Macaca fascicularis: one gene and its partner. Each later gene encodes a partner of the first gene's protein in a complex. Links are inferred from orthologs where the notes say so. Each region holds a gene or a part of one and is shown on either strand. Other genes may lie near its edges.

Evidence for each region. The genes of interacting proteins can lie anywhere in the genome.
Region 2: the proteins of KIF13B (region 1) and ADAP1 are in contact, whole or in part, in a crystal structure (PDB 3MDB), measured with the Homo sapiens proteins. The link is inferred for Macaca fascicularis from reciprocal best matches to the Homo sapiens genes KIF13B and ADAP1. Residues at the interface, in NP_056069.2 of Homo sapiens: Val451, Asn452, Leu453, Asn454, Ala455, Asp456, Pro457, Leu463, Arg512, Phe514, Asn516, Gly517, Arg531, Leu533, Asn536, Asn537, Phe539; in NP_006860.2 of Homo sapiens: Trp137, Asn143, Gly144, Gln145, Phe146, Leu147, Pro186, Ala187, Lys188, Ile189, Gly190, His191, Pro192, His193, Tyr211, Glu213.

What each region holds. Positions count from the first base shown.
Region 1 is NC_088382.1:32,445,913-32,450,068, reverse strand, and holds the start of KIF13B (kinesin-like protein KIF13B), read left to right. Parts: upstream 1-1,342; 5' UTR 1,343-1,401; coding exon 1,402-1,456; intron 1,457-4,156. UniProt on the Homo sapiens protein: Involved in reorganization of the cortical cytoskeleton. Regulates axon formation by promoting the formation of extra axons. May be functionally important for the intracellular trafficking of MAGUKs and associated protein complexes.
Region 2 is NC_088377.1:34,408,464-34,412,542, reverse strand, and holds the start of ADAP1 (arf-GAP with dual PH domain-containing protein 1), read left to right. Parts: upstream 1-1,277; 5' UTR 1,278-1,479; coding exon 1,480-1,561; intron 1,562-4,079. UniProt on the Homo sapiens protein: GTPase-activating protein for the ADP ribosylation factor family. Binds phosphatidylinositol 3,4,5-trisphosphate (PtdInsP3) and inositol 1,3,4,5-tetrakisphosphate (InsP4). Regulates the incorporation of CD63 and CD9 into multivesicular bodies.

The DNA of each region.
Region 1 (4,156 bases):
AGCTAGATCCATCTAAAAAAAAAAGGTATTTTTAACTTTTCTGACAACACTGCTTGTATTGAAGATGTTCAGTAACAGGATGGTTGATAAAAGGGCAAGTCTTGCCAGCTTTCTGTATTTACTCATCTGTAAAATGGTTCTGAGTTCTATTACTATCATTTAAACACATCTAAGCAGGGGTCACCAACCCACAAGGTCCAGGCACATGTGTGGTAAAGCCACCTGGAGGGAGGCTGTGGTGAAGTGGAGAGAGACTGGCCTTTGATAAAGGCGGCTGCTGCTAGTTAGTTCCAATCCACTCTGTCCAATGTGTAATGTAGGCCCAGTACTGCAAGCACAAATCTGATTTCACACTCTGTCACCCAAGCTGGTCTCAAACTCCTGGCCTCAAGCGATCCTCCTGCATCAGTATCCTAAAATGCTGGGATTCCAGGTGTGACCCCCTGCCCCTGGCCACAAATCTGATTTTTATGTGTTGGCCAACACTGTTGGGCTAAACAGAACATGTTTGCAGGCTGGCTCTGGCCCACAGGGTCACCTGTTAGAATGTCTGCCAGGGCTAATAAAAAGCTAATTTTAGTGTGGCCTCATTGATTCATTCCTGCAATTAACGTTTATGGGTCTCTACTAAAGGCTAGGTTACACATGTAAGTTAATCTTATTTAAAAATGTACCTATTTTATTAGGTACTAGCATCATCTCCACTTTCCATATTAAAGACAAACCCAGAGCGGTGAAATAACTTGCCCCTGGTCACACAGTGGGAAGCGCTGAGGTGGGATTTGAACTCAGATGGTTTTCAGAGCCCAAAGTCCTGTCTCAAAGGAGGGCGACTCATAGGACAATGTTAACCTATGCACCTATGGACACTCCCAGAAAAGGTGATTTGCAACTTGTCTTGAAGGACGTCCTCAGCGGACAAGGCTGGACTGCAATCTAGGCAGAGGAAATAACTTGAGCCAGGGATCAAACACTAAGATTGGCAGGAAATGAGCAGGAAGAGGTAGCGGGGTCCCTGACGCCATCTATTCAACTGTTTTTCAGAAAAGGTATCAGCTCTCGAAGGCTTACTTCTCGAAGGCTTACATCTTGCGAGAGCAAGAATGGTGTGTAAAGACGGGAATTTACAAAAGCCCTCACTGCTGACCGTAAGTGCCAGCAAACGACTCGCGCCCTAGCTTTCCCGCCTCCGCCTCCGCTGCGGCTCCGCCCACGACCCTGGGGAACTACAAGTCCCGTCATGCACCAGCGCGCGCCGGGAGCTCGCTCCTGCCCCGCCCCCAGCCCGGTCCCCGCCCCCCGCCCCGCCCCGCCCTCGGCCCCCTCCCGCCGGGTCAGCCCCGAAGAGTCGCCGGTGGCCGCGGCAGACGGAAGCAGAACGAGTGCCTCGGCGGCCGCAGGATGGGGGACTCCAAAGTGAAAGTGGCGGTGCGGATCCGACCCATGAACCGGCGAGGTGAGAGCCGAGCCCCCCCGGGCCGCCGGGGCTGAGGCGGCAGGTGCCTGGCGCGCCCGTCCCTCGGCCGCCGTGGGGGGTCTGGCGGCCCCGCCCCTATAGTCTGCGGCGGGGCGCGAGGAGGGGCCCGCGGACCCTGAAACCCGCGCCCGCGCTGAGTCGCCCGGCTCCCTCTTCTCCCCTCCCTTCCCCCCCTGGCCAGTCCCGTACCGGGAGCCGCCAGGCCCCTCGTGCCGGCCCCGCTGCCCCTTCCGCCTGCGCCCGCCCCGCCCCGGCGCCCTTTCGCCCTCTCGTCTCCCCCGGAGGTTCCCGAGGGCGCCCTAGGCCCTGTCGCCCCGCCTCGCCCTGGCCCCTCAGCCCCGCGCCTTCCCCGCCAGCTGTCACTGTCGCCCCCGCGCGCGGGTCGCCAGCCCCTGCAACCCGCCTCGGGACCGCCCGGGACCCCGCGTCTCGCCCGGGTCTCCCAAGCCTGCACCGCCGCGGCCCGCGGCGGGAAGGAGGGCAGGGGGCCAGGTGGGTGTCTCGCGGCGAGTTCCTTCCACCTGGGCGTCCTGAGATTCAGGTCAGGTGGAGGAGATGCCTTTTTCGTTGTTTTTGGACAGTCGAGAAAGTTTTGGTTTTGCCTGAAGTCTCATTGGTCATCTCTCAATAAATAGCTTAAGTGCCAAGATTCTTGTGGAATTGTATCTTTCTGACATTCTCTTAAGTCTGCAGGGAGGGTAGAGAAAGCAGATAAACCGAGTACATTGAAGTCATCTGTAGACCCAGGGAGTGGAGAGAACCCCAAAAGTCGGGAGAAGGTGGGCTGGGTCTTGGCTTTGATAGTAAAAAGCAGCGTGACTGGGCGAGTTGCTTTAAATAAGATAATGTATTTGAAAACGCTTTATATACAAGGTTCTATCATTGGGGTCACTATTACTGTCCCAGGGGATGACTTTGCCATTGATAAGACTTTGAACTAATTAGAATCTTTTAAGTACCAGAGACAACTAAGAAGTTGTAGCTTCTTAGCAAAATCAAATGTTAATTTTTATGTAGAAATTATAGGTTGTTTTCCTCTTCTTTGCTCTTTTTTGTGTATATTGAGACGTACAGATCAATCAGTTGACATAAGCTTTGTTGGTTTGTCCTTCTCGGGGAAATTGGTTTCTCGCTTGGAGTTATCTCGTCTATGGGAATTGGTTTGTCCTGTTTCTGCTAGGTCCGATTAAGGCTGTCAGGTGAGTTTTTTTCCTTAAGAACTTAATTACTTTAAGTTCTCAACTAGTGCAAGATTGAGTCCTGCTTTGCTTCACTAATCTCGTACTCTGACAACACAAAGCAAACGTCGATGCAATTCTGAAAATTTTCAGAAGCGTCAGTTTTTAAATATTCAGGTATTTGTATTTCAGTTTACTTCCAGTTTACCATCACAATAATTTAAAGAAAGAAGCCAAATGAAACATATCTGGGAACTGATTCTGAAAGGATGGTTTCAGCACATTCTTAAAATTTCCTTTTCACAAAAAACTTGGAAATGTCAGTGCTAAAAAGAGGCCGTGAACCAACCACCACAAAAGACATCTCAGATATTTAGAGCCCTTCTTTCCCTCTCCCTTTCTCCATTGGTTTCACTTTTTGAGGGGAATTCGTATGCTTTTCACTCATAAATTGCCATTGATAAGGTTGTAATAAACATCAGAGTTTAGAGGAAGGCAAAGAAATAATAGTTTTAGCTGTGGAATGGATGTGAGCTGATCCTTGGGTTCAACTCATTTTAAAATTGAGGTTTACCCGTAGATTCCATTAGCCTATATAGAGAAGTGCATTATTTGGAGTAAAGTACCTCCTGAGTTCACTTAGTGCCCATTCTTAGCCTTATATTTCCTGACATGCATGTGGACTTCTTTTTTCAGTGATTACCACACATAAATTTGTTCTTTTCCATTTTTGCTGTGAAGTAATTGTTAACATAAATAAAAAGGTTATTATGGAATACAGTGTGGTGGGATTCTAAATCCAGTGATTTTTAAAAATTGGCATCTAAAGTTTGTATAGAAAGACTAAAACAGGCCAGGCACGGTGGCTCACGCCTGTAATCCCAGCACTTTGGGAGGCCGAGGCAGGTGGATCACCTGAGGTCAGGAGTTCGAGACCAGCCTGCCCAACATGGCGAAACTCTGTCTCTACTAAAAATATAAAAAATTAGCCAGGCGTGGTGTCGGGTGCCTGTAATCCCAGCTACTTGGGAAGCTGAGGCAGGAGAATCGCCTGAACCTGGGAGGCGGAGGTTGCAGTGAGCTAATATTGCGCCACTGTGCTCCAGCCTGGGTGACAAGAGCAAAACTCCGTCTCAAAAAAAAAGATTAAAAACCATTTTTCTTTCCAGTAATTTCTTTTTTTCTTCCTCATATGATCTGTAGGAACCTTTCCCTTAATTTTGAAAAGAATATTACTTTGAACAGTTATTAGTATTATAGTGTATAATTATGACAAATAGTAAAACTTGAGTCCTAATAGTTTCTATCATAACGTATAAGTGCAGGAAGCAACCTTATAAATCACTGTCCACAAATGAGGGGATGAGAATGGATTACTGTGATGATGTAGTTTTACTGTATAGACTCTGATATTTGGAATCACATTAGTTATCTTTTGAGGAAAATCTGAAAATTTCCAGAAAACTCCGGTGTATTAAGTCCTTGTGTGATTCAGTGTCTG
Region 2 (4,079 bases), on another chromosome or scaffold:
GCCTGTAATCCCAGGACTTTGGGAGGCTGAGACAGGAGGATCACTTGAACCCAGGACTTCAAGACCAGCCTGGCAACATAGGAAGATCCCCATCTCTACAAAAAAAAAAAAAAAAAAAAAAAAAAAAAAAAAAAAAAATTCTTTTTTTTAGAGACAGGGTCTCCCCTCTCTTCCCCAGGCTGGAGTGCAGTGACACCATCATAGCTCACTGCAGCCTCAGCTTCTGGGCTCAAGTGATCCTCCTGCCTCCGCCTCCTGAGTAACTGGGACTCCAGGCCCCCACCGTCACACCCGGCTAAATTTTGTATTTGTAGAGATGGGGTCTTGCCATGTTGCGCAGGTTGGTCTCAAACTGCTGAGCTCAAGCGATCCACCAGCCCTGGCCTCCCAAAGTGCTGAGATTACAGCCCTTAGCCAAAACCCTGTCTCCATAAATGATTAAATAAATGAAAGGCCACAGGCCTCAGACCGTTCATTCTGGAAGGTGCTGAGGAATTGTTTGTTAATAGTGGTTGCCTGGAAGGCAGCGGGGGGAGGCTTTCCTTTTTCAGTCTGGTATGTTCCAGTTTGTTTTCAGCCGGGCGTACTGCACTAACAATATAAGAAGAAAATGGAAAGAATTTGAAAAGACGCTGGGGTGTGCAGAGGAAGGGCACCCAAGTCTGGGGAAGGCGACATCAAACCCAGGCTTTTTGTTACCTGTCAGCCCCCATGTGAAGTCCCCGCCGGGCCCCTCAGCCAGCCTGAGTGGGAGGAGTGCTCAGAGGGTCCCCTCTGTGGGTGGTGGGCAGCTGGGTGGGTCTCAGGGGGAGGCTCCCTCTGGGGCCTCTGCGGCCTCAGTGCCCTGGGATGCTGGCGTTTGTCACTTGCTGGCCGCCCCTCCCAGGCAGGGATGGTGTGAGCGCCCTGGTCCCTAGCGCAGAACACACACGCCTGCCTTGCATGAGCACCCCCGTGCCCATGGTCTTGGGGGGCTCGGCAGGTGCCCTCTGCACCCCCCACAGTAGGTGTGCAGGTTCCGTCCCAGCGCGCGTGGCGGCACGAGGGTCCCATCCAGTCCGGCCAGGTTTTGGGGCGGCCTCTCGCCCAGGCAGGTGGGATGCTGCGCGCGGATGAGGGGCGGGCAGCGGGCTACTTCCCGGTGGGTCCCCGGGGCGCGCGGGCTGGGGGCGCCGGAGCGGCCGAGGGAGGAGGCCACACGCTCGCCTGCACCGCTGGGGGCCGCCCGCGGGCCTTGCCGGCCAGAGCGCAGCGTGCGCCCCGGGCCCCGCGCCGGCACTCGCTCAGCGACCGCGGCGGAGACACGAGCGGCGGCGGCGGAGCCCGGAGGGCGGCGGGAATGCGGAACCGGCGCGCGGGCTGAGGCCGCCCGGCATGGCGCAGGGGCGGCGGCGGCGGGCGGCCTGCGCGGGGCCCTAGCGAGCCGGCGGACGCTCCGGGCCCCGGCCCCGGCATCGGCATCGCGGGCGCATCGCGGCCATGGCCAAGGAGCGGCGCAGGGCGGTCCTGGAGCTGCTGCAGCGGCCGGGGAACGCGCGCTGCGCGGACTGCGGCGCCCCGGGTAGGTGTGGGCCGGGTGGGCGCGGGGCCGGGTGGGTCCCGGGTGGGCGCGGGGTGCCGGGTGGGTCCTGGGTGGGCCCCAGGGACCGGGCGGGGGACCGCGGACGCCGCGGGGGTGGCGGTGCTGAACACCGGGCCGGCGCTCGGATGGGGCCCGGGCCCGGCTGCACCTGCGGGACCCGGACGTCTCCCCGGGCCGGGCGGAGCGGGAGGCGCCCCCAGGACCCCCGGAAATCCCCCTGCCGCCGCCTCCCCTCCCCCTCCGGGCTGCGTGTCTGACGGTCACCGCGGACCGCCCGCCGCGTTGCGAAAGCTCGGGCTCCGCACAGAAAGAGGAAATCGGGGCTGGCTGCAGGGAGGGAACGGGCCGCCAGCTGGAGGGCTCTGCTGGACTGTGGGGTCCCCCGGCTCCGGGGCCACCTCGCGGTGACGTCATGCCTCACTCCCTCCCCGCACCGGGGGTCCCTGGGTGTGAGCGGCGCCCCTCCCCCGGCTCCCTGCACCTGGCTGCTCCGGGGCGGGCGCCAGGACAGGTGAGGCCTGGAAGAGGTGGGGCCGGACGCAGGTCCTCGTCCACCTGCCGCCCGCCCGTTCGTTCTCCCGGCCGGGCATCCCTGACTCGGTTCCTAGGTCTGTGGGATTTCAAGGCACAGGAGTCCAAAGGCGCGGAGTCCCTCCCTTCCAGGCCACTGGTCCTGCCATTGGCTGTGAACGGGGCCCAGTGCCCAGACCAGCCCTGCCCTGCTTCGGAGCTGTCAGCCCCAGGCCGGCTGCGCTGTGGGGAGAGGGCCCTGCCAGGGCAGTCCTGCCACCCCAGGCACACCAGGAATCTGGGGGCCAATAGCCTGAGCCCCTTGGAACAAACCTAAACTCACCAAGGATGGCTGAGGTCCCCAGGGAGAGAGCGGGGAAAGACCCTGCATTTGCCCCCAAGGCCCTGGTTCAGCATGCAGTCTCTGGACACCCCGGAAATAGGATCTGATTCCCTCTGGGATGGAGGGGTCTCTGCCAGCCCCAGGTCGTGGTGGCTGCTGTCCAGCCACAGCTTGGCCCGAGAGTCCACACCAGGAGCTGGGGTGTCCCAGAGGGGAAATAGTGACAGGCTTTTCTGGAAAGACAGGCAGGACCCACGGCCTTTCCGTGGTCTCCTGAGGCAGGGCGGCTGCAGGGCCAGTGCAATGGTGTGGTGGGGGCGGCCCCCTGGGCTGGCTCGCACGAGAATCTCTTACCCCAGATCTTTATTTCCTCCTGTTCAGGAATGCTCCCCTGGAGAGTCAGTGGGAAAGGGCCTGGCCTGGGGTTGCTATGGCCCACGGGGAGGGGAGCTGGGCTTGTCTCTGAACCTCTGATCCCTGGCCACACAGCCTGGGAGCAGCTTCTCTGGACTCAGAGCCCCTCTCCAGCTGCCCTCTGGCCCTCCCAGCCTGGCAGGAGGAAGAAAGAGGGCACTTCCCTGGCCTGCTGGGCCCTTCAGTGGCCCTCCCCTCCCAGTGGGTGCAGGTGTGCCTGGCCCACCACAGAGCTGTTCTCGGCCCTCCCCCTGCCCGGTGCTGCTGGGCACAGGGCCGCACCTGTGCCTTCTCAGAATTGGTCCATGACCTCAGTGACTCGCCTCCTCTGTCGGGTAGCGCCATGGAGCGGGGATGCTGTGAGGGGTTGTTCTCATTTCACAGCCAGGGAGACTGATGCATTGCAAACTGGAGCTGGGGATATGGGTCACACCCGGCCGCTGTGCTTGTCCCCGCTCCCCAGGGCTGTGGCCACAGGGTGGAACAGGAGGTGTCAGGAGACGGGGGGCTGCCCGGACCCCATGACCCCATGGCACACCCTTGAGGGCGCTATGCTGCTTTGCTGATGCGGCTGCTCTGGGATCTCCTGTTCCTGCTGTGGCCCAGCTGGGTGACAAGGAGCCACTCCAGTATTGATGGGGACTGGGGTGACCAGCACGTTCTGCTTTCCTCAGAACACTGTCCTGTGCACTGGCTCTCGGCTGGTGCAGACCCGGACAGCAGGACATCAGACAGTCCCAGGCCACCTCTGAACGCCAGGCCTGTGGGTGCTGGGGTAGACTTGAGCAGGCCCCACCTACTGGCCGTGTGAGGGAAGCCACATGGTCTGGGGGTCTCTGAGGCCTCCACAGAAGCTCCTTCCAAACTCCCATGATCTGTCCCACTAGTGGGTTCCCCTGACCTTGAACAGGTCCTCACCCAGCGGCCACCCAGAGAGCCTCTCCTCACAGGCCTGGCAGGTGGGCGAGTTGGGGCGTGCTTGGACCCACTGTCCTGCAAGACCTGGGTGGGGGTCTCCATCCTGGGTGGGGCTTGGGGGAGGGAGGAGGTGCCTCTGTGCATCCTTGGCGCTGCCTGCCTAATTGCAACAGAGGACAGGAATCAGGCGCGGTGGCTCACGCCTGTAATCCCAATACTGGGAGGCTGAGGCGGGAGGATCGCTTGAGGCCAGGAGTTGGAAGCTGCAGTGATACACTCCATCCTAGGCCAGAGTGAGACCCTGTCTCAAAA